4 linked regions of the Arabidopsis thaliana genome follow. The protein of the gene in region 4 interacts with the protein of the main gene of each other region in a pairwise test. Each region holds a gene or a part of one and is shown on either strand. Other genes may lie near its edges. The genes, in order: AT3G55050, AT4G12980, ABCG20 and AT3G13670.

Region 1 (5,009 bases), about 16 Mb from region 4:
AACTATCTGCTTTCCACGAAAATGAGACAGAGAACAAAGACATGATAACACATTTGGAGAGAAGAGTTGCTGAGCTGACCACAACAGCAGATAAATTGCATGAAGAGAACAATTATGTTAAACAAACTCTCTCCAAGTTACAAGAGAGTTACGCAGGTGCTACAGAAGATCTTGATTTCTTGAGAAGAAACTTTGAAGAGAAGGATCAAGAATGCAGGGAGTTGCACAAATCTGTTACAAAGTTTTTCAGAACTTGCAAAGAACAAGGGAAGACAATTGAGGGACTTCGAGATGGTGTTTCTGAGGAGGTTAAGAAGCAACCGTCAGAGAAATTAGACCAGTTGGTCAAGAAATTGCAGGTCGAGCAGGTAAGGTTGACAGGGATCGAGCTTTCACTTAGAAGGGAAGTAGAATCAATGAAGCTTGAAACTGACTCTCTTCGCCATGAAAATATCTGTCTACTGAATCGATTGAAAGGGAATGGTCAAGAAATAGACATTACAACCCTTAAGCTAGAGAATGAGTTGAAGATGCGTGTCTGCTACTTGCAAGAACAGGGACTGTCAATGTTAAATGAGAGCAGCCAGCTGTGTTACAAGTTACTGAAGTTCATCAAAGGGAAATTAACTCAGCTTCCTGAAACCTATCAGGATAAGAATTCAGTGAAGGACGGATTAAGTGAGCAGTTTATGATTGAGTCTGAAATGAAAGTCCATGGGATAAGGCGCGGAACTGAAAACCTGAAGAGGAGTTTGCAAACGGTGACCAGTGTGGTAGCTTCGAATTCAGAATCGTCTTCCTCAAATACTGGTAGGCCTAGGGAACAAAGAAACCAATCAGTTGAAGTAAGTCCACGGATATGTCCATTTCTTAATATCTCTATTGTATTTTCTTGTATGTCCTGTTTTGCTTTACACTAATATGTGGCTAATGTATACCTGGCCCAATCTCATGTAGGAAAACTTGCGAGCAGAACTGAGTGCTGAGACCCTAATCACAAGTTTAGTGCGGGAGAAACTGTATTCCAAGGAAAAGGAAATCGAACAGCTCCAAGCAGAACTAGCAGCAGCAGTACGAGGTAATGAGATTCTGAGATGTGAGGTCCAAAGCAGTTTAGACAACCTATCAGTTACAACCCACGAACTGAAAGACCTCAAGCATCAGGTATTGCAAAACAAGAATAACACATATCCCATGTCTGTTTTTGTATATAAAGAAACTATTCCCATTTATAAAATGTTAACTTTACGCTAATCTTTTTTGACATCAGATGTTGAAGAAGGAGGAAAGCATAAGACGGCTCGAAAGCAATCTCCAGGAAGCGGCGAAAGAAATGGCGAGGCTGAACGCACTATTGTCAAAAGTGTCTAATGAAAGAGGCCAGATATGGAGTGAGTATAAACAATACGGTGAGAAAAACATGCTTTTGAACTCAGAGAACGAGACATTGAAAGGAATGGTAGAGAAATTGGAGGAGAAGGTATTAGAGAAAGAAGGAGAGATCACAATACTACAAGACACAATCGGAAGCAAGCATCTGAATCTCCTCTCAAGTCCTGATTTCTTGGTATAAGGGTTTTTCTTTATCATTGTTTCTTAGACGATGGGTCATTCTTTGGGGCTTATAGATATGATTGTTTCTTCTTTTATTTTTACTTTTCTTCTTTTGGATTGCTTATCTCAAAGCTGGATTCTCTCTAGTTTCAGATTTGTACTTAAAAATGGGCTTATAAACTTAGTGGTGAAGTTTATGGTAAAGAAAGTTTGTCATTTGACTCAATTCTATTCAATAAATCTTCATAAGCCATTAGTTCAAAAAGAGACTAGCAATAATTTTATATATATACTATCTTACATAAATATATATATATATATATATATAGACTTGGTATTTTTACTTTTTTCACTAAATATATGATCACTTTTCACTATAGTTAGTCATTCTTTTTCTCAATAAGTTTGACAAAGCTAGTCTTATATTATTTTTTTTCCTACACTTGTAGTAACAAATTGGTACCATATTTTAGAGAATATTTCATAAAAATAGTAGAGGTATTAAATGTTGCAAAAAAAAAGTCAAACCGTTAAAGTCAAAAAGAAATGGAGAGACGACAGGTAGAGAAAATAAAATACTATAAATTTACCAGAAAAAAAAAAACACCATAAACACGATGACCGCGACTATCGGTACTTTCTCTCTCTAAAAAAAACAAATCCAACGTCTCCGTCTCTTCTTCAAACGCGTCTTCTTCTCTATTTTAACCCTCTTTCATCGTCTCTTTCGCTTTTTATAGGTTTTGATTTGTATTAGTAATCATCTTGCTAATCTTTCCCCCTCATTGATCTGAAATCGAATGATGGATTATTATTCTACTCCAAGCTTTTGAAATAAGGAACCCTATTTCTTTCATCTAATCCTCGATTTCATCAGGTATTTCAAATCAATTACCCAATCAGGTTGATGGGTCAAAGTTGAAACCTTTAGATTCATATGTGGATGGAGTTATGTAAAGTTTTCTTCTTAATCAAAATTTGTTTCTCCCAGATGCTTGTTATCAGATTGATGGGTTAAAAGTTAAAAAATTTAGTTTCCTATGTTGAAAATTTGGAGACTTTATCCTTTTTTCGATTCTAGATTACTAAATGTTTTGTTTTTGTTTGTGTGGAATGCAGATTAATGTTGTTTACATTTGTGAATGCGTGTTTGAATTCTGAATCCTGGGTTTGTGGAGTTGGAATTGAGTCTGACAAGAAGATTGGGTTTCTTCATAATATAGTTATAAGCACTGATTTGATGAACGATTTGATAGCTGGTTCTTTTGGTTGAGACATGTGAATTATGGTATCTACAACATTTAGGAGAATTGTATCGCCTTGTTGGAGACCTTTTGGTATTGGAGAAGATTCTAGTCCTGGTAGTGATGATACGAATGGCCGTCTCGATGGTCTCTTGTGGTACAAAGATTCTGGGAACCACATCACTGGAGAGTTTTCTATGGCAGTCGTTCAAGCTAACAACCTTCTTGAAGATCATAGCCAGTTAGAATCTGGTCCTATTAGTTTGCATGAGTCTGGACCTGAGGCAACTTTTGTTGGTGTTTATGATGGTCATGGAGGTCCCGAGGCTGCTCGGTTTGTAAACGATAGGCTCTTTTATAACATCAAGAGGTACACATCAGAACAGCGAGGGATGTCGCCTGATGTTATCACCAGAGGGTTTGTAGCAACAGAGGAGGAGTTTCTCGGTTTAGTGCAGGAGCAATGGAAGACCAAGCCACAGATTGCTTCTGTGGGAGCTTGTTGTTTGGTTGGTATTGTTTGTAATGGATTGTTGTATGTTGCAAACGCAGGAGATTCTCGGGTTGTGTTAGGGAAAGTCGCAAATCCGTTTAAAGAGTTGAAAGCTGTTCAGTTATCAACAGAGCATAATGCAAGTATCGAATCTGTGAGAGAGGAGTTACGTTTGTTGCATCCTGATGATCCGAATATCGTGGTCTTGAAACACAAAGTTTGGCGTGTTAAAGGGATTATACAGGTCTCAAGATCCATTGGTGACGCATACCTTAAAAGAGCGGAGTTTAATCAAGAACCGCTACTACCTAAGTTTAGGGTTCCAGAACGTTTTGAAAAGCCGATCATGAGAGCGGAACCGACTATAACAGTTCATAAGATTCATCCGGAAGATCAGTTTCTTATATTTGCCTCGGATGGTTTATGGGAGCATCTAAGCAACCAGGAAGCTGTTGATATTGTCAATTCTTGTCCACGCAATGTAAGACATATCACAACACTCTTCTTGTCTTGTTTTTTTGTCTGGTTTGAATTGGTTTTGTTGTTTGTTGAATTTGTGGTGTCTTGTTGATTCTTTCAGGGTGTGGCTCGGAAGTTAGTGAAAGCTGCATTACAAGAAGCAGCAAAGAAGAGAGAGATGAGGTATTCTGATTTGGAGAAGATAGAACGTGGCATTCGGCGACACTTTCACGACGATATTACCGTTATTGTTGTCTTCCTCCACGCTACAAACTTCGCTACTCGAACTCCGATCTCTGTCAAAGGAGGTGGTCTCCTCTCAGCCCATAATCCCGTTTTATAGATCATTTTTTTTCTCCTTATTTGAACCAGAATTTGATTTTGTTTGCTTCTTTTGTTACAAAATTGTGTGAAAATCTTACTTCTTTAATTATTTTCTGATCGAAAAGTGTAAATTTCCTCTCTTTTTTCCTCAAATCTCAATTGTACTTTCTGTTTACGAAATAGTGAAACAGAATCGAACCAACATTCATCAATCTGAATTTGAACCGAATTTTACTCTTATACCGAATTTAAACCGAAATAGAATCTTATTCTATCCGAATTGAACCAAACCGGAAGTTGTGGCAGTCAAACAAAAAGGTTCAGTGGAAACCATTTTCCCGGAAAATCCTTTCAGGAGCTGAGAAAGTGAAAGCTGTGAGGTATGAGTGTGGGACTGAAAGTTAGCGCGTTCTTACATCCAACGCTTGCGTTATCCTCGAGAGATGTCTCTCTCTCTTCCTCATCATCTTCTCTCTATCTTGATCGGAAAATTCTCCGACCAGGCTCCGGGAGACGGTGGTGTAAATCCCGAAGAACCGAACCAATATTGGCTGTTGTAGAGTCAAGGTAATCAATCAAATATGTTTTTCCTTCTATGAAGAGTGATTACAAGTTTAGTTGTGTATTGAAAGGTTACTATTTTGCAGTCGAGTACCGGAGCTTGATTCTTCTTCAGAACCAGTTCAAGTATTCGATGGATCAACAAGGTTTCGGTTTTCTAAAAATGCTTTTTTTATTTGTTTCATGTCTGGATAGATATTAGAGAAGTTGTTGATGAACAACTTTTGGTTTGTGTGATTTTAAGGTTGTACATATCTTACACTTGCCCATTTGCTCAGCGTGCGTGGATTGCTCGCAACTACAAGGTTTCAAATTTGAATCATTCTTCTTATCGATGTTTCTATATATCTATATCAATTTCTTTATGTTGCTTG
Region 2 (4,713 bases), on a different chromosome or scaffold from region 4:
AAATCATGTAGTAGTTTTATGACTAATTCCTGAAAAGAATTTACAGCTCCACTTTGGATGCCAACAACATGCTTCTCCTCCTGCTTGTTAGCTTGATTCACATCATATACGATTATCACCTTCTTCGTGCATTTCTTACCGGAGGGACCCCACTTTCAACAGAGGTTACATTTTTGTAGTAAGACACGTCCGGGTAGCTAACCAATACATAGTCAGTGATTTTTTCACCATTATTGTTTAGGAAGCAAATCTTTTCTATATGAGGATTTAGAGTTAGACGACTGAATTCCAAGAAAACTCTTAGCCACAACTAACCATTCAAACATATATGTGTTTGGATGTACCTTCATAAATAATTTGGAATGACTTTATATAAATTTCAGTTTCAATAACATAGAATTTGGAAAGGAATTTTAAAATCACTAATTGAATAACTGATGATGTTAACAGAAAACCAACACTTTCATAAAACCTTGATTTAATACACCCCGAAAACTGCTCAATTTGTTTGACCGTGGCCCCAAATTTCGGTGTATAATATATGAGTCAAATCCCGGATAGACAATGTAAACAACCTTTTAGGAAAGAAAAGTGGAAACAACGTTGAAAAAGTTTGGAAAGAGATTTCCACTAGAATTTGAATTTCATATAGAAAAGAATAAACGTAAAAAAGGCAACGTAATTATAGTTGATTCGGTAGTAGCTGGACACATTAAAGTTTTAAACGCTATCATCATTCAGAATGCCCAAAATAAGAATCTTACAAGTGTTTTACATCTTACACCACACGGACATATTTTAATTTTACTGTTTGTTGGTCACTTCGTAGTTCGTACTTGGGTAATTACAAATTTACGACAAAAAAAGATTGAAAAATTAGTTTATAATTCCCTACAAGTATTCTGAACCACAAAAACACACGAAATAAAAGGCAGAGCTACAAAGAACAAACACTAAGACATATATGTGTTTCTCCTACTATACATAAAACACACAAGTCATAATCATCATCCTCAAAACAAGCAACGTCAAGAGATGAATCATAATTTGTGGAGAAAGACAATGCAATTTCTAACTTCAAAAAAAAAAGAAAATAAAACAATACAAATCCTTTGAATTACCAACACCATTAGGCCTTGAGAGGCTTTGTAGACTTGGCAGATTTTCTCTTGAGGACAATGACCCAAGTAACAACTTCCAAGAGTAACGTGATGCCTCCTAAGGTCCCAATCACAGCGATATAAGCCGTCTTGTAAGTATGCTTTGGATTCAAGATGCTAAGACCTTTGAAAACATTGATGATTCCAAGGATGAGGATAGAGTATCCAACTCCGTGGTGGTAAATATTCCAAACGAATCTAAACTTGTGGTCCTTCCTTGGCCGCAACAGCATCGCAAACATCTTTAAACACGCGCAAAAAGACACAAAGCATCGTTTCAATAACAGAACAAAACATATCTTTTTAAATGGCCAACTTGCAATATCCACTAATATAACAAATAACACTCTTTGGTCCTAATGAGTATTAGCAACGGTTTAATTTACCTGAAGAGTGGCTATAGAGAAGAGACAGATGCCGATGTTCCGGTGAGTGTTGTACTGAATACCTTTAGATTCTGAACCAAGCTTGAGTCCGGTGGCCCATCCGGCAACACCGATGACATAAGCAGAGAATTGGCATGACACGTGGAGGTAAAACCAAGCAGGATCTGCTGATTCAAAGATTCTCATATACCTAGCTATCATTGCTCCAATGGGAAATAGAAGTCCCCAACTCACTGCGTTCAATATTCCATGGATCTGCCAATTTACACATTCAAATGGTTGATTCTTCATGACTTTCATAAACAATAACAAATATAAAAATCATACTTACATTTCTCTTGTGGATTCTAGAATTACCGGCACCACCACCTCCGGAGACAGGGACTCCGGGGGTGGTCCCGGTTAAATCGAGTGATCCCACTGAGTTAAGATTGGGACCGCTGAAATCATGAGCCTGTATCCTCCCATTAGACACTCCCGGACCAACCTGCCAAACCTGGTTAACCTTCCCACTCGCCGCTAAATCCGCCGGAACCTTCACTTTCGCAAAGATTCGTAAAGCTCCACCGTCATTAGCCGCCTCCTCCGCCTTAACATCCCACACGTCAAAGGACAGTTTCGAGGGAACCAGAGAGCTGTAAGAGACGATGTTAAGGGTCGTCACGGAAGCAACGCCGGTGCTAGGGTCCTTAGAGGCAACGAGGGCTTGAGATCCAGCCATGCCGGTGGATTTAGGGTTAATAGCCCAAGCGATCCAACCACCAGGTTTTGACGGTGGAGCAGAGAAAACAACGGCGAGAGTTGTGTTAGATGCGTCATAAGAGTAATGGAGAATGGCTTTAAGATCAGGGAGGTCGAGACAGTGAGGGTAAGATTTGACGCCGGAAAATGTCTGTGACGAACAAGAAGATGACTGTGACACAGCCGGTGAGAGTAGTAAAGCCCAGAAGAGAAAAGAAAGAGAGATTCTAAGGTAAGAAGAATCCATGATGAATGATGATGATGCAAAGAATTGTAGTAACCGTTAAGTAATGGTCGGAAATAAATAGGTGAAACTGTGTGATAATTATAGCCTGTATCTAATTCTACGATACACACAGCTAATAAAAGATTTTTATTTATTTGTTTCATTTTTATTGTTCAATGTGTTGTTTTTTCTTTTCTTTCTTTTAATTCAGAAAAACACATCATAACGAACTTCTTTTGATTGTCTGATTCTGGAAGGTCATGGAACAGAACATATCAGATTAAGTAGTTGACAGTTATGTTTGACCTAAGACCAAGGATCTCAGAGTATTTCTGGCCTTGAAAATCATAAAGATATTTATATATTCTTTTTATTACAATAAAATCTAAATTCACAACATTCTTAAAGTAACACATTTTTCAAGTAATTTAGAAAAGAAGATAATGCATAAATTTAATTTTGGTTATTTTTTTCATTCTTATCTTCATAGTGTAGATGCATGTTTTTAGATAGGGTTAAATCATTTATTTGCAAAATTATCCAAAATGTGAGTATATAGAGTTTTGTCGTATTGACTAGAATAAGAATTTATCGCCCAAGACTAAATACTTATTAGAAACTAACATTATCAACGGTTGCTAAGTTTTTTCAGTTCACATCAGAATTTATCTCCCTTAATTCAACATCTAGTCATGCACCTATCCCTAAAAATTATCCTCTTCTATCTCCTTTGATGTTTCACCGAACCGCTATATATATTAATATAAGCAAAAAGGGGAAGGCCCAAAAGGTTTTGTCGAAAGCTTTAAACATATCTCTTTAAATTAGAATATCCAAGTAAGGACTGCAGGAGCTCTAGAATCTCTAAGATAGTTAGTTTGTCTTTCAATTCTCTAAACCTCAGCCCTCAGGTATTAATACTTTTTAAGGTAGTGTGCTCTAGAGTAAATTGGTTTATATTCAAAAAAAAAAAAAGGTTTATATACACATATGAGTAAAACTAAACCTTAAATAGATAAATTTAATTCAATTTTGGATTGATTTTTATAATAATGTTCAAAATATATTGGTGTATACAATTATGTTTTGGTTTCATTGAGAATAAGCATCTAAACTTTTTTACGTTATTTATGTATTTACAACCTAATTATTAAGACGTATGAAGTTTAGTGCGTTTTAACTTGAAAAATGTTCAAAACAAATATTATTTACAAAATATATCGATTAATTATTTGTTATGTAATTTTTGAGAATAAGCATCTGATCATTTTCAACTTAAAACGCACCAAACATAAATTCATAAACAAATCACATAACAAATAATTAATAGTTATATTTTCTAGATAGAATTTGTTTTGATTGATTAAAAACTAACCTGCCATCTGACGTCGATGTTATTCATATGAACCAGATACCACTGTCTGATGATCATTGTCTTAGGCGCCTACTACGTCTACAGTTCTGTGGTCAGATAGCTCCGTGGGTTGGCTTTTTATTGGCTCACATATCTGGATTGATTGTATCTTCGTGGAGATATATTAGTTGCACTGTTCCATGTCTGTTCACTAATATCAGACAGTTTCTTCGATTCATGTGGGCTGAAGTATCAGCATTCTGGAAAACCCACTCGAATTTTATTGTGTTTGCAGTTCTTTTGTTGTTGACAGCCACATGCATTGAAGCATCATTACTTTACTTTTTAATCTAAGTTTCATACCAGCCAAGTTTGGCCTAAACTGAATTCGTCGAGTCCTTCTGCTTTGGGTGGCCACACGTTTATTATGGCTTTTCTTCCATAATTTTGTGTTGTGCTGCTCAGATATCCGATATCATACTATATTCCCAAAACAACATACAAAAGTTATTGTTAATATCTGAAATAACAATTAGTGTGTTCAAAACATCATTTTTAACAAGATTTCACTAAATCTATTCCATGCTTATGTTTTGCTTAGCTTTTGCATTTTGCTTATTTTTTTTGGATTATTCAAGAAAGTTAAATGTCTATATATGCAATTTAAAAATCGACTCTCATCAAAGTTAAAAGTAGAGAAATGTTCCAAAAAAATGTAAAATTGTCTAAATCTTTTATCTAACAAAGTAGAATTTAACTCGCGGTACACTGCATGAAAATTTATTTCTTAAAGTTAGTATATATCAAAGTTTCCAAATTGTATATTTAAATATTTTATAATTGTTA
Region 3 (5,589 bases), about 15 Mb from region 4:
ATGAACAGGTGAAGCTGGACAAGCTAAATGGTAAATCTGATCGACCTCAAGGAGGATTGGCTCAACAACATCGTGTCGAATTAGCTCAAACCTAGGATTCGAGAATAGATGAACCAAATTCTCCTTCCTACCAGTGAAGAAGTTATCAATCACGATCACTTCATCTCCCCTACCGATAAGCTTATCAACAAGATGACTACCGACGAAACCAGCTCCACCGGTGACAACAATCCTCAGTCTCTTCCGTCCGATACCGACGGGAACACGACCGGTTCTACCTCCGCCGCCTCCGGAATTAAAAGTCGACCTGGAAGGCGGGGAATCGGTGACGGCGTAGGAAACAGATCTGGTGATTAACGAGGTGGACTCAGCGGCGCCTAAACGAGAGAGAGAAGGCTGGAGGATGAAGAAAGTGGATCCGATCAAGATCCCGACGAGGATAAAGAGGAGTCGTTGTTCACGAAAGAGATAGTGAAGCGATCTGGGAAGAGATCTGGGATGCTTTAAAGTTTTGGGAGAGTAAGGACTGGATTGGCTCATGGGAATGGTTTCTTCATCACGCTTCGAGCTCATTTGCTTGTGAAGCTGCTTCATCGTTCTCCGATTAAAGCTCGTCGCCGGTGAAAATGAGATCTCAGAATTGCCGGGAAGAAGAAGAGCTTTGGATCTGGATAGATTCAAACGTAAGAGCGATGGTGAATGCAAAAGTAGTTAGTTACACGGCGATTACTTGATGCAATCCTTCGCTCTCTTTTTTATTTTTATTTTGTTTTAGTTATAGAGCAAATATATATGTTTCGCTTCTAAAATCTATATGTGATTATCAGATAATCTAATTAAGTAATTTCACTAATTGTTTAATAATATATGCAATTTTTTATATATATATTCTTGAGGGGATCATTAATGTGATTTGCGTTTGATTTGTATATTATTCAATGAACATATACAAAACTTTAGGCAAATGTGGAAACAAACAAAAAAAACTCCTCGAGGCTTACAAAATATGGGCTTTTAACAATTGGATGCCCAAGTTTGGCCCCTTAATAGCCCACAAAATGTTATGCCTAGAGATATGCTCTTATGCTATTTTTTTTTTTTTTGAATGAAAACTCTCTCATGCTGTTACTCAACAGACGAGAGTAAAAATTTCTCGTACGATTTAACAAATATTAGCATTGAACGAAATCTCAAACCTGAGGGATTCAATTCCTTGATCTAGTCCTACCTGATAAATCTCAAAGTGTTAACAAAATTATGTTGGGAAACTTAGCAAAATATCCTCTACCAAACACAAAATTTCAAAACAATCTTTACATAAAGAAAGTCTTACTAAACTTAACCAGAATAATATAAACTCATTCTCTGTGTGAAAGTGTACATTCCATAAGAAATGTTATGTATTTCATTGGATAAATCATTAGTTCAACTTGATAGAGACAAGCTGATGATACTAAGTATATAGTTTTCTATTATTTCTTGACAACTCTTGTAAAAATGGGTTATCAAAAGTAAAATAATCAAGAAAACAGATATAACAGCTACACCAAACTTCCATATGCCTAAATCTAACTCATCACGTTATATAAAGTTTCCATTACATATTCCTAATGACAATTTTTGTTGTGTTTTCGTGTGTAGCTCTACAACATCAAAGCCGAACATCTGCACGTTTTTCTGCCATAATTTTCACATTCATTTCCTTTTTGTTTCACCAACTACAAAAGTACAAATCAATGATCCTTATAATTTTTTTTTTTTTTTTTTGAAATGAAATAGGCTTCACTTACGCTTTTTTATATGACGAAAATGGTGTGCATGATTAAACAAACAATTGAAAGATAACACGCCATTAGCTTCATTATGCATAATGGCATGCCTTTGTACAATCTTAGTATAGTACCATGCCAAATCCTAATTATGAGAATATCTTATGTGTTTGATATTAACTAATTGCAAAAGTTAATTAGTAACCGCTAAATAAATGTTCAAAATGTTGGATGATTTGATTTTGATACAACAAACAGTATATTCGTAGCGTGCTTTAGTTACTGTACGAAGATATTCACTGATTCAAAATAGTTGGAAATCCAATTAACCCCTAGTCAATTATTGTCTCACGCACCAAAAAACAAGTCTTAGAGCTTGTAAGTGATTATAGAAAACTCGCGGGTCGTGACTATAATAAACAAAAGGAGATTAAGAAATTCGTGACATACATACATGTGCAAGGAGAAATTCTATTCCTGACATGTTACATAAGCTATACTTATTGCAATTCCATAAACTCCGGATACATTATATACAGATGAAATAAACACGTAATTCCATGGAGTAAACTTTTCCACTTTGTAAACAAAAACCACCTAAAATAGGATTTTTTTACAGAGTACCTTAAGCCCCAAGAAAAAATACATACAATAACGGAAAAATGTGGATGGATTTGCCCAACTCCTCACCTACTCGTAACTTACAATTTATATACATACGAAAATATAAACAAAAGCTATGTACATGTAAATATGAAAAGCTACAAAACCCAGAACAACTCAAAGTTAGATACTTAGAGATCACCAAACTAATTGACAAGTTTCTCCCTCATTCTCCCATCCAAATATCCTATAAAGTCGATCAAAATTGTTCTGTGGGTAAGACCTTTAGACACATTACCTGAGGCCAAAACATTAACCAGACAATAATTCACGTGATGTCTGGTTTGTTCGGTATATTATCTCCGGCCAAACGGGTCAATGGCGATGGCCTCCCTCTGTTTTACAATATCCACAAGTCAGTGGAGCTTCAGAGATGTCACAGAGACACTGCGCGGGTGTCTGTCACACTTGCAGAACTTCTCATGAGTGTGGAAGATGAGGGGGATGACCAGAGTCGGGCTATGGATATTGCGGTTGCGTCCAATTTCTGGTCCTCGGTTCCGTCTTCTCGTGTGCCTTCTTCTTCTCCGTTTGTTCTTTCCTTCAAAGACTTGACTTACAGCGTGAAGATCAAGAAGAAGTTTAAGCCCTTTCCTTGTTGTGGGAATTCACCTTTTGATGGTAATGATATGGAGATGAATACTAAGGTGCTCCTGAATGGTATTTCTGGTGAAGCCCGGGAAGGAGAGATGATGGCTGTTCTTGGAGCGAGCGGGTCAGGGAAATCAACGCTTATCGATGCATTAGCCAATCGGATTTCAAAAGAGAGCCTACGCGGTGATATTACTTTAAATGGGGAAGTTCTTGAATCTAGCCTGCATAAAGTCATATCAGCTTATGTGATGCAAGATGATCTTCTCTTCCCGATGCTCACCGTGGAAGAGACGTTGATGTTTTCTGCTGAGTTCAGGCTTCCAAGCTCGCTTTCTAAGAAGAAAAAGAAGGCACGGGTTCAAGCTCTGATTGATCAGCTCGGCCTGAGGAACGCAGCAAAAACCGTGATCGGTGATGAGGGACACAGAGGTGTGTCTGGAGGAGAAAGGAGAAGGGTCTCAATTGGAACCGATATAATCCATGACCCGATTATTCTCTTTCTCGATGAGCCAACTTCTGGTCTTGACTCTACCAGTGCATACATGGTTGTCAAAGTGCTTCAGAGAATCGCACAAAGCGGCAGCATAGTTATCATGTCCATCCATCAGCCGAGTTACAGAATCTTGGGATTACTCGATAAGTTAATCTTCCTATCTAGGGGAAACACCGTTTACAGCGGCTCCCCGACACACCTCCCTCAGTTCTTCTCAGAATTCGGTCACCCAATTCCTGAAAACGAGAACAAGCCGGAGTTTGCACTCGATCTTATCCGTGAGCTGGAAGATTCGCCAGAAGGAACGAAATCCTTAGTCGAGTTCCACAAGCAATGGCGAGCAAAGCAAACCTCAAGCCAGAGCAGAAGAAACACCAATGTATCTCTCAAAGATGCAATCAGCGCAAGTATCTCGAGAGGTAAGCTTGTCTCCGGAGCAACAAACCTAAGATCATCATTTCAAACCTTTGCAAACCCATTCTGGACTGAAATGCTCGTAATTGGTAAACGATCTATACTAAACTCAAGAAGACAACCAGAGCTATTCGGAATCCGCCTAGGAGCTGTACTAGTCACCGGAATGATCCTAGCCACAATATTCTGGAAACTAGACAATTCACCAAGAGGTATACAAGAACGCTTAGGGTTCTTCGCATTCGCAATGTCCACAACATTCTACACATGTGCAGAAGCAATACCAGTCTTTCTACAGGAACGTTACATATTCATGAGAGAAACAGCTTACAACGCTTACCGGCGATCATCATACGTCCTCGCTCACACAATAATCTCCATCCCTGCTCTCATAATCTTATCCGCCGCATTCGCCGCCTCAACATTCTCGGCCGTAGGACTCGCCGGAGGCTCCGAGGGATTCCTCTTCTTCTTCTTCACAATCCTCACCGCGTTTTGGGCCGGAAGTTCCTTCGTGACGTTCTTATCCGGCGTAGTCTCACACGTGATGATCGGATTCACGGTGGTTGTAGCAATCCTCGCTTATTTCCTCCTCTTCTCCGGATTCTTCATCTCTAGAGATCGAATCCCACTCTACTGGATCTGGTTCCATTACCTCTCCCTAGTGAAATACCCTTACGAAGGTGTTCTACAGAACGAATTCGAAGATCCGACGAAATGCTTCGTCAGAGGGATCCAGATGTTCGACAATTCGCCGCTGGGACAAGTTCCAACCGCCGTGAAAATCAGCCTCCTGAAGAGCATGAGCGGCGTTTTGGGGATCAACGTGACGGCGGAGACTTGCGTAACGACGGGAATCGATATACTGAAACAGCAAGGAATCACGGAGATAAGCAAATGGAATTGCTTGTGGATCACTGTAGCTTGGGGATTCTTCTTTAGGGTTCTCTTCTACTTCACACTCTTGATCGGAAGCAAGAACAAGCGTCGCTGATTTACAAAACAGAAAATTATTAGAGTAACTTGACCAATGATTATGATGTACTTAATACTTATGATTAATACGAAATTGCATATGTTTGCTAAATCTTTAATGGGCTTTAGAGTTGATATAAGGCCCAATAAAAGTACTAAATTGGAAAGTGTGCAATTTTCTATTTTCTATATCGGTAATATCGACGTTTATCTCGCCGTGAAATCTAAACCGTTGATTGAAACAAATCGCTACCGTTGAATCTCGTCGGTTTCCAAGTTATAAGATAGGGGTTGAAGACTAATCGCAGTATCATCCGCGGTTCACTTCCTTCGTTTCGAAATTATTAGGGTTACTGCGTATTTGCACTCTCCTTCTTCGTCTCTCCAGGTACGAGGAAGAATCTTTGTAATTGGATCTGTTTAGGGTTACGATTTTATTGTTCTTCGCTCTCTAGATTAGGGATTTCAATTGGTTTCTCGTTTCCTCGCCGTAGATTTCCTTTATAGGTTTCCTTCTGTCTAATCTGATTAGAGATTTATATTCTCCCCTCACGAAATTTTCTTCTTTTCGCCTCTGAATGTGTTATTCAGTTTGGTTTCTTTGTTTTTGGATTTGTGTTCTGCTGAAAAATCATAGATATTCACATGGGTTCTATGTTTAGGTCTGAGGTAGTGTTTTAA
Region 4 (7,028 bases):
CGTACAATTGTCCACACTCAGGAGCCAAGTGTGATGTCACAGGAGATATTCAAAGGCTACTACTGCATCTAAGGAATGATCACAATGTTGAAATGAGTGATGGGCGTAGTTTCAGTCACAGATATGTTCATCATGATCCTAAACATCTTCATCATGCTACTTGGATGTTAACAGTAAGTTATATAACTGATTATCTTGCTCTGTTTCTGCAACTTTGTGAATTTTTAAGTTTTAACCCACTTGAAACGATGCAGCTTCTCGATTGTTGTGGTCGAAAATTCTGCTTGTACTTCGAAGCGTTTCACCTGAGGAAAACACCAATGTACATGGCCTTCATGCAGTTTATGGGAGATGAAGAAGAGGCAATGAGCTTCAGCTATAGTTTGCAGGTCGGAGGGAATGGCAGAAAGCTGACATGGCAAGGCGTGCCGAGGAGCATTCGTGACAGTCACAAGACGGTTCGTGATAGTCAAGATGGCTTAATCATCACTCGCAAATTGGCTTTGTTCTTCTCTACCGACAACAACACCACCGACAAGGAGCTGAAGTTGAAGGTTTCAGGTCGTGTATGGAGAGAACAGCCTGTTTCGATATGAATTCGATAATTAGGTTACAGAATTGGACAACTATAGAATATTTGGTGACAAAAATATCTTTTCTTGATTTAAAAATTAAATATAGCAATTTCGAGGGAAATGTGTAGGTAAACTGGTGATTATGGCTCAATCCCCTTCACAAGGGGGGAATAAACAACACAATCACCACATTTTTGCTTCACAATTCAACTGAAAAAAAAGAAGAAGCACAACAGAGCCTGAGAGGCCATAGGGTTGGATAAGGAATAGGAGCCGAGACTTAGAAACATATTTCTCTCGTCCTTCAACAGTTTTTACTAATAAGTCTCAAGATACAGTTCGGCCATAGCTTAACGATGCAAGGTAGAGATTCTTTCCCCATTTTTCCTGCACAACAGAAAATTGCATCTCCGGTATTGTTCATGGGAAGGGAGAAAAAGAGTTCAAGATATTGATTAGTAATCTTTTATAGCTGCTCTACTCACCTTGACGTGTGTGCTGGGGAATTGAGAGGTACGTAACGTCTCTTGTGTCTCATCAACAAGTCTACGACGTGGGATGCTTAGGATGAGAGCAGCTTGATCGGTTGTGGCTGCTGTTGATGTGATTCTGAATCCACCATCCCAACGCCTGTGGATGCCTTCACTTGGATACAGAAAATCAAGTTCCACAACCTGTAGAGGAGATATAAGCGAAAACAGGAGAATTAGAAATCAACGCGACAGATCCAAAACTGAAGGAAACGGAAGAAATTCATCTATATCGGTGAAGTCTAACCTGTTCACTGTAGCCAGAATTGCGGGACATAACAACACCCCATCGATTTCCAGCTGTTGCCATTGAGGTTACATGGAAGCCTTCTCTCCATTTCTTGTTTATCCACTTGAACGGGAATGAATCGCTTACTTTGTAAGACTGCTGTGTATACTGCGTACCTTCATAATTCATTTGAAAACCAAACATAGAATAAGCCACAAATTCAGAGACTAGTAAAATACCATAATGACGAAAGTGTTCAAAAGTATTCATGAAAAGTGTAGATACCTTTTGACATGACAACTAAGGAGCTTCCATTGCTTGCACCAGCAATAGAACTAATGTAGTAGTTCTTCTCCCACTGCTCCATAATCCATTCCTGATTCAAAACAGAATTCACTCTCAGGTAAGATCATCTTGACAGAACACAGATATAAAAATAACTAACAGAGAAACATCAGACAACCTTGTGCAAGAATACAGGAGAGAGTTCATAGACTTGGTGCGTGAAGCCAGTTCCAGCATCCATTATCAATGCCCAGAGATTCGAACATGATGATACACAGCTTATCAACAAACCATCTGCAATACCTCTCTCAATATGCTGTGCCAGTCTTATATCAGCCACATTATAATGATACCTGGTTAAACACATAAATTGTGAGTCCAAAAATAGTTTTAGACACATTAAGGCCAAAAATCCAAGATTATAATATAACCAAGAGAAAAAATGAGACACAAACGCAGTCCCAGCAGTTAACTGACTGTATAAATAATTAACCATGAATTTTTTTACCTCTGCTTCATTGGTTGCCTGGCATTGTAAATCGATATCCATTGCGTTGCAGGGACTCCTAGACGGACCTTTTTCCTAGGGGCATCTTCTTCTTCCTCCCCAATGCTCAACCTACCTCGCTTCTGGCCAACTTGGAATATGATCTAGCACAAAAGAAAACAATTACAAGATGTTAAACAACAACTCCTAGATATCCAAATAGGAACGAAAGGGAAAGATATACAGCATGAAAATGTCACCTTTTGAGCACCCTCTGTGTTTATAGGCCTAATTGCCGGATTTTCGCCCAAGAGGTCTTGAAACAGAGATACTAACTTTCCATAGTTGGGTTCTTCATCAAATTTCATATTTACCACGATCTCAAGAAATTGTTTGAAAGGAGGGGGACAAAAACAACAAAGCATATCCGGCGATGTTGCCATCTTCTTTTTGCAAACAAGGAATGACTTGTTATCTCCCTGAAAATTGAGTAAGAGACAGGATTAGCAGAGAAAGAATCATGCAACAACATGATTCTACAAAACAAAATGATAGGTCTGCAGTACCTGATATCCTTGCCATGGCAATCTACCTCGGTGAAGAAAGATCAGTGTATATGCTAATGATTCCAGATCATCCCTTCTGCTAGCAGTTCTCCCTAAATGAGCATGTGCACTTGCGTATCTAACTGTCCCTCTATAAAAATTAAGAAGAGAGAGATTCAACAAAAGGTAAGAGCGAGTATAAAACAAATTATATTAGGTAACAGTAGAAAATATATTACCTAAACATATCAGGACGTTGATCATATTCAACATGTTGTCCGCTACCACCTTCTCTCCACTTTGTAGCTGAAAAGTTGGTTGAAAAATGAGAAAGGTAAAGAAGAACCTAGCAAGAATAACAAAGAGAATGAAATCAACCTAGTCCCAAATCAACAAGAAACAGTTTTTTCTCTTGAGACGTTGAAGGCTGGCCGAGTAAGAAATTTTCTGGCTTAACATCCCCATGCACATAACTGAAACCGAAGTAAAACATGACCTGTTAGGCTAGTTAATAGAGAGAAAACATAAGAACTTAGAGGTGCCGAGACTCCAAACAGGATATCAGAAGAAACCTCGGACAACCTAATTAAATACAAAAACAAAAATAAAGTTCAATTACAAACCCTTTTGCATGCATCTTTTCAAGGATGGAAAGTGATTCAACCGCAATGCAAGCTACCATTTCCGAGGACATTCTGCAAAGCAAAAAGGGGGAGAAGAATTGTTAGGGAAGTCGATTTTTTAAAAGCAAAATGTTACTCAGTATGGACTTATGTATTTTTTTAAAAACAGGGAGTAACACCACATTTCAAGTCACAATTCCAAAAGAATCCAAATTAACTTAGGATACTCATGTATGGAAACAACGCTAATTGAAAAAGAGACAAGAGCTCCCCAAGGATGTGTAATGGAGACTCACGCTTGCCCTGAAGTATTCCATAAATCCCATAAGCTAGGCCCAAGCATGTCCATAACCTGAGGCCAAAACAAAGAAGAGAGGATCTAACTTCAATGATACAGACAGGAGAAAAAAACAGAAATAGGAGAAAGGGGGAATCCAGTACCATGACATAATAGTCTCCTTGCCTGCCTTTGAAATGTACTCTAGGGACTCCATGGCTACCACCCAAGGTGCTGTTCACAATAAAAGTAAAATGTCAATTTCACATTTCAAGTCAAGGAAGCACCTACAATCCAGGTAAATGAATTTAAGAAACATTGAAAGAAAGACAGGAGAATCGAAACACCCACTTGTAAACCTGCCACTCATGTGGAGGACCATAGTTGCAACCCTTGCTGCTCCTATGCTCAAACTTTAGAGCAACCTATATAAGAAAGTGAAGATGTGAGACACTGTAAGCATAACTAAGCTAATAGAATGATATTTATGGTGACAATCCTCCACAGCAGTAAACGCAGACTGAGTTATATTACCTCCAAGATGCTAGCTCCTGCACTACGATCATTACCGCCACTAATACGACGTCCGACAAATACTTGTCCAAAACCACCCTTCCCCAGCTTTCTCTCAACTTTATATAGTGGTGATCCTCCAACTTGAACCTGATACGGAATCGTTAGTCATTACCATAGAAAGATGATAAGCAAGCCTACAATGAAAAGTTCAATAACCCCAAACAACACAAAAACTATGCAAATCAATTATACCCTCTCAGGGAAAGGAGCAGTATTTCCTTCTTCTTCCTGAGCAGCCGCCTTGTTAGAGCCACCACTATCATTACCAATAGCCATATCTTTCTTCTCTTCTTCAACGACTACCTCTTTACCCTTGTTTTTATCGATATCGCTATCCTTAGACGGCACAACAACCGGAATCTCCTGAGGTATCTCTTTATCTTCCTCCTTTAATTTCCTCGCCGCTAATCTAGTCCTCGGCCTCTCTGCAACTCCTGTAACTCCGCCGGCAACCGGTTTTGGAGCTTTAACGGTACTCTTCTTCGGTTTCTTTTCTGTAGGTGTTTGCGGAAGCTGATTGGGAGCTACAGCATCAGTAACACGGCCACGGCGGACTCCACGGCGAAGCTCCGGCATAGCTCAAACCCCATGCAATCGAGACGGGACACGAAGAGTCCGATCATTATAGTCCTCCGAAAACGAGGGCCTGGGTCATGTCGGATTTGGTAAGCTATTTGATATATAATCGGAGATTCGATTTGCCGATGATGAAGATGGCGATTTAGGGTTACGACGGTTCAAGTTTGCGATGAGAAAAATAGAAGTTTATGGATGAAAGTTCCCAAAATGGAGAGAGAAAAGAAGACAGGCGATGTGAAAAAGGCGATATTTATGCCACGTCAGATATTCTGAAGAGGAAGAACCAAAAAAATTTGGAAAAATCAAATTAATTTTCCTTATGACAAAAATTATGTAATAATGATGTGAATGGACTTTTTTTGCGTCACACGGTCCGTGACTTGCGACTAATTTGGAAACAAACGTTTCACGTTTTTGTTAAGAAATAAAAAATTTGATTTCTTTTCTTACAATGGTTTTATATGTTTACTATTTTGAATGTCTTTTCTATTTCAAACAAAAAAGTAGCTAAATGTATTATTTAATTTCTCCGTGTAATATCAAAATTGGTTTTAGACAATAAATAGGTTTGATTTGGTGTTTTTTTTTTAAGGTTTGATTAGCTCGTGATTGGGCTAACTAATCATTATATTTATTTGAACATTTATTTTCTATCAAAATTTCAAATAATTTATTCGCTAATCAGTTGATGATTTTCCAAATTAACGCGGAGTAGAGCCTTTGTGCCACTTAATTTGACCAAAAAATGTATGTTTAATGTATATATAAACAACTACTTATTTATTTATTTTTTAGATGAATAAAATCAAACCATTACAAGATAAAATACATTATTTAACTTGGGAAAAGACAATAACACTCTCATAACAAAACGAGACATAAAAACAAATAAGTAATGAAATCAAATGAACAATATTCCAAACTTAATTATTTCAGTAATGCAGAATATAACAATTATATTCAACACTAGATTCACCGCGGAGACAATTCATTTTTTAAAATTAATATATGTAAAAATTTGTAAATTATTTTATAGTTTACAATTGTTACTAAGTAACATCCTGTCAAACTCGTCCCGCCAAACCCGTCCACAAAAAAAATTTATTTATTTTATTAATGTTGATCTTATTTATAATATATTTATGAATCATTGTCAAAATATTTTATTCGTTGCGGGACGTTGAATCCATACATTTTTCGCCAATTAGTTAATATATGTTCATTCTTAAAATTTTGAATCACAAAATATGACGATTTTTTTTTTGAGATTTTTTAAACTCTATATATTATATAATGATGTTAATTTTTTTGATATATTAAACTTTTTATAAATTTAAATATTAATAGTGTTTTATGAATTTTAAATATATAAATAATAATAATTAAAAAATTAATATTTTTTGCCTTTTAGGTAATGATATAATAATTCTAAAAGCAAGAATTTAGAAGATTTAAATCTTTAATTAAATATTTTCATGCCTGAATAATTAATGTCAGTAGCATGACATTGTAAATAAGTTCAAATACATGATTTGTTTATTTAAACAAAAAACGTTTAGTAAGAACAATATTTATTTAAACAAAAAACTTTGTTTTAAAATATTGTTAACAAAATACTTTTATGCTAATTTTAAAGGATTGATGTGCAGTTTGTTTGGATTAAATTTGATTGATAATGTGATTGACAATTTAAATTAAGAATTTAATGTAAAATTAATTATTTTGAAAAAAAAATTTAATGCTAATGGCATTGGGTTGTAAATAAGTTCAACTCTAAGATTTATTTGTTAAAATGGCTGCAAAAATGTATATGTAGATTGGCAACACCGGCCTTGAGATCAAACGACTTGGTGCGAGCCTCGACATAACCTCTAGCAAATCGAAAGATTCCACTACCTCCGACCACCGGCATTTCCCTAACCTTCGACATCACCACGTTCCGCCCAAGAATCGTTATCGTACTCCCATTGTACTTCCCCGTAGTGAAAGCAAAGTTCATCACCATCAAGAAGCCTATCTCTCCTTGGGCCGCTGCTACGTACATCCCTTGGGCTTGGCCCACCACAGTCGCATTCCTTGGCACATCGAATGTTAGTGGATCGTCCATCATGGTGATCGATCCGGATAAGGAAGAGTTCAAGACCGGCTGTTGGATCATCACGGAGCTAGGGTTTCTACCGTTTACAGAGTTGTGCCAATAGACTCGGAGATGAGTGAGTTTCTCCTTTTTGTAAGGGCCAAGGTGTTTCCCGTTCATGGTTCTTCCCAATTCATCTCCGACGGAAGCAACGGCATAGAAAAGGAGGATTTGTGCGGCGAAGA

What was found.
Region 1: the proteins of AT3G13670 (region 4) and AT3G55050 interact in a protein complementation assay, tested with the Arabidopsis thaliana proteins (one large-scale study listed by BioGRID).
Region 2: the proteins of AT3G13670 (region 4) and AT4G12980 interact in a protein complementation assay, tested with the Arabidopsis thaliana proteins (one large-scale study listed by BioGRID).
Region 3: the proteins of AT3G13670 (region 4) and ABCG20 interact in a protein complementation assay, tested with the Arabidopsis thaliana proteins (one large-scale study listed by BioGRID).

Annotation. Positions count from the first base shown.
Region 1 is NC_003074.8:20,399,753-20,404,761, reverse strand, and holds AT3G55050 (Protein phosphatase 2C family protein), read left to right. Parts: upstream 1-2,166; 5' UTR 2,167-2,431; intron 2,432-2,673; 5' UTR 2,674-2,839; coding exon 2,840-3,772; intron 3,773-3,871; coding exon 3,872-4,093; 3' UTR 4,094-4,332; downstream 4,333-5,009. Other genes in the region: AT3G55060 (CAP-gly domain linker), read left to right, coding at 1-845, 958-1,164, 1,271-1,573; GSTL2 (glutathione transferase lambda 2), read left to right, coding at 4,457-4,641, 4,722-4,781, 4,880-4,940. UniProt on the Arabidopsis thaliana protein: May dephosphorylate and repress plasma membrane H(+)-ATPases (PM H(+)-ATPases, e.g. AHA1 and AHA2), thus influencing negatively plant growth and fitness.
Region 2 is NC_003075.7:7,588,541-7,593,253, forward strand, and holds AT4G12980 (Auxin-responsive family protein), read right to left. Parts: upstream 2,720-4,713; 5' UTR 2,535-2,719; coding exon 1,878-2,534; intron 1,802-1,877; coding exon 1,547-1,801; intron 1,403-1,546; coding exon 1,130-1,402; 3' UTR 707-1,129; downstream 1-706. UniProt on the Arabidopsis thaliana protein: May act as a catecholamine-responsive trans-membrane electron transporter.
Region 3 is NC_003074.8:19,836,640-19,842,228, reverse strand, and holds ABCG20 (ABC-2 type transporter family protein), read left to right. Parts: upstream 1-2,245; 5' UTR 2,246-2,707; coding exon 2,708-4,927; 3' UTR 4,928-5,081; downstream 5,082-5,589. Other genes in the region: UXS1 (UDP-glucuronic acid decarboxylase 1), read right to left, coding at 1-594.
Region 4 is NC_003074.8:4,467,109-4,474,136, reverse strand, and holds AT3G13670 (Protein kinase family protein), read right to left. Parts: upstream 4,985-7,028; 5' UTR 4,704-4,984; coding exon 4,320-4,703; intron 4,215-4,319; coding exon 4,086-4,214; intron 3,977-4,085; coding exon 3,903-3,976; intron 3,786-3,902; coding exon 3,716-3,785; intron 3,627-3,715; coding exon 3,571-3,626; intron 3,347-3,570; coding exon 3,275-3,346; intron 3,125-3,274; coding exon 3,030-3,124; intron 2,958-3,029; coding exon 2,891-2,957; intron 2,803-2,890; coding exon 2,673-2,802; intron 2,586-2,672; coding exon 2,367-2,585; intron 2,271-2,366; coding exon 2,128-2,270; intron 1,973-2,127; coding exon 1,798-1,972; intron 1,711-1,797; coding exon 1,620-1,710; intron 1,576-1,619; exon of another isoform or gene 1,511-1,575; coding exon 1,353-1,510; exon of another isoform or gene 1,250-1,352; coding exon 1,061-1,249; exon of another isoform or gene 963-1,060; coding exon 903-962; 3' UTR 597-902; downstream 1-596. Other genes in the region: AT3G13672 (TRAF-like superfamily protein), read left to right, coding at 1-596; AT3G13662 (Disease resistance-responsive (dirigent-like protein) family protein), read right to left, coding at 5,667-5,672, 6,532-7,028.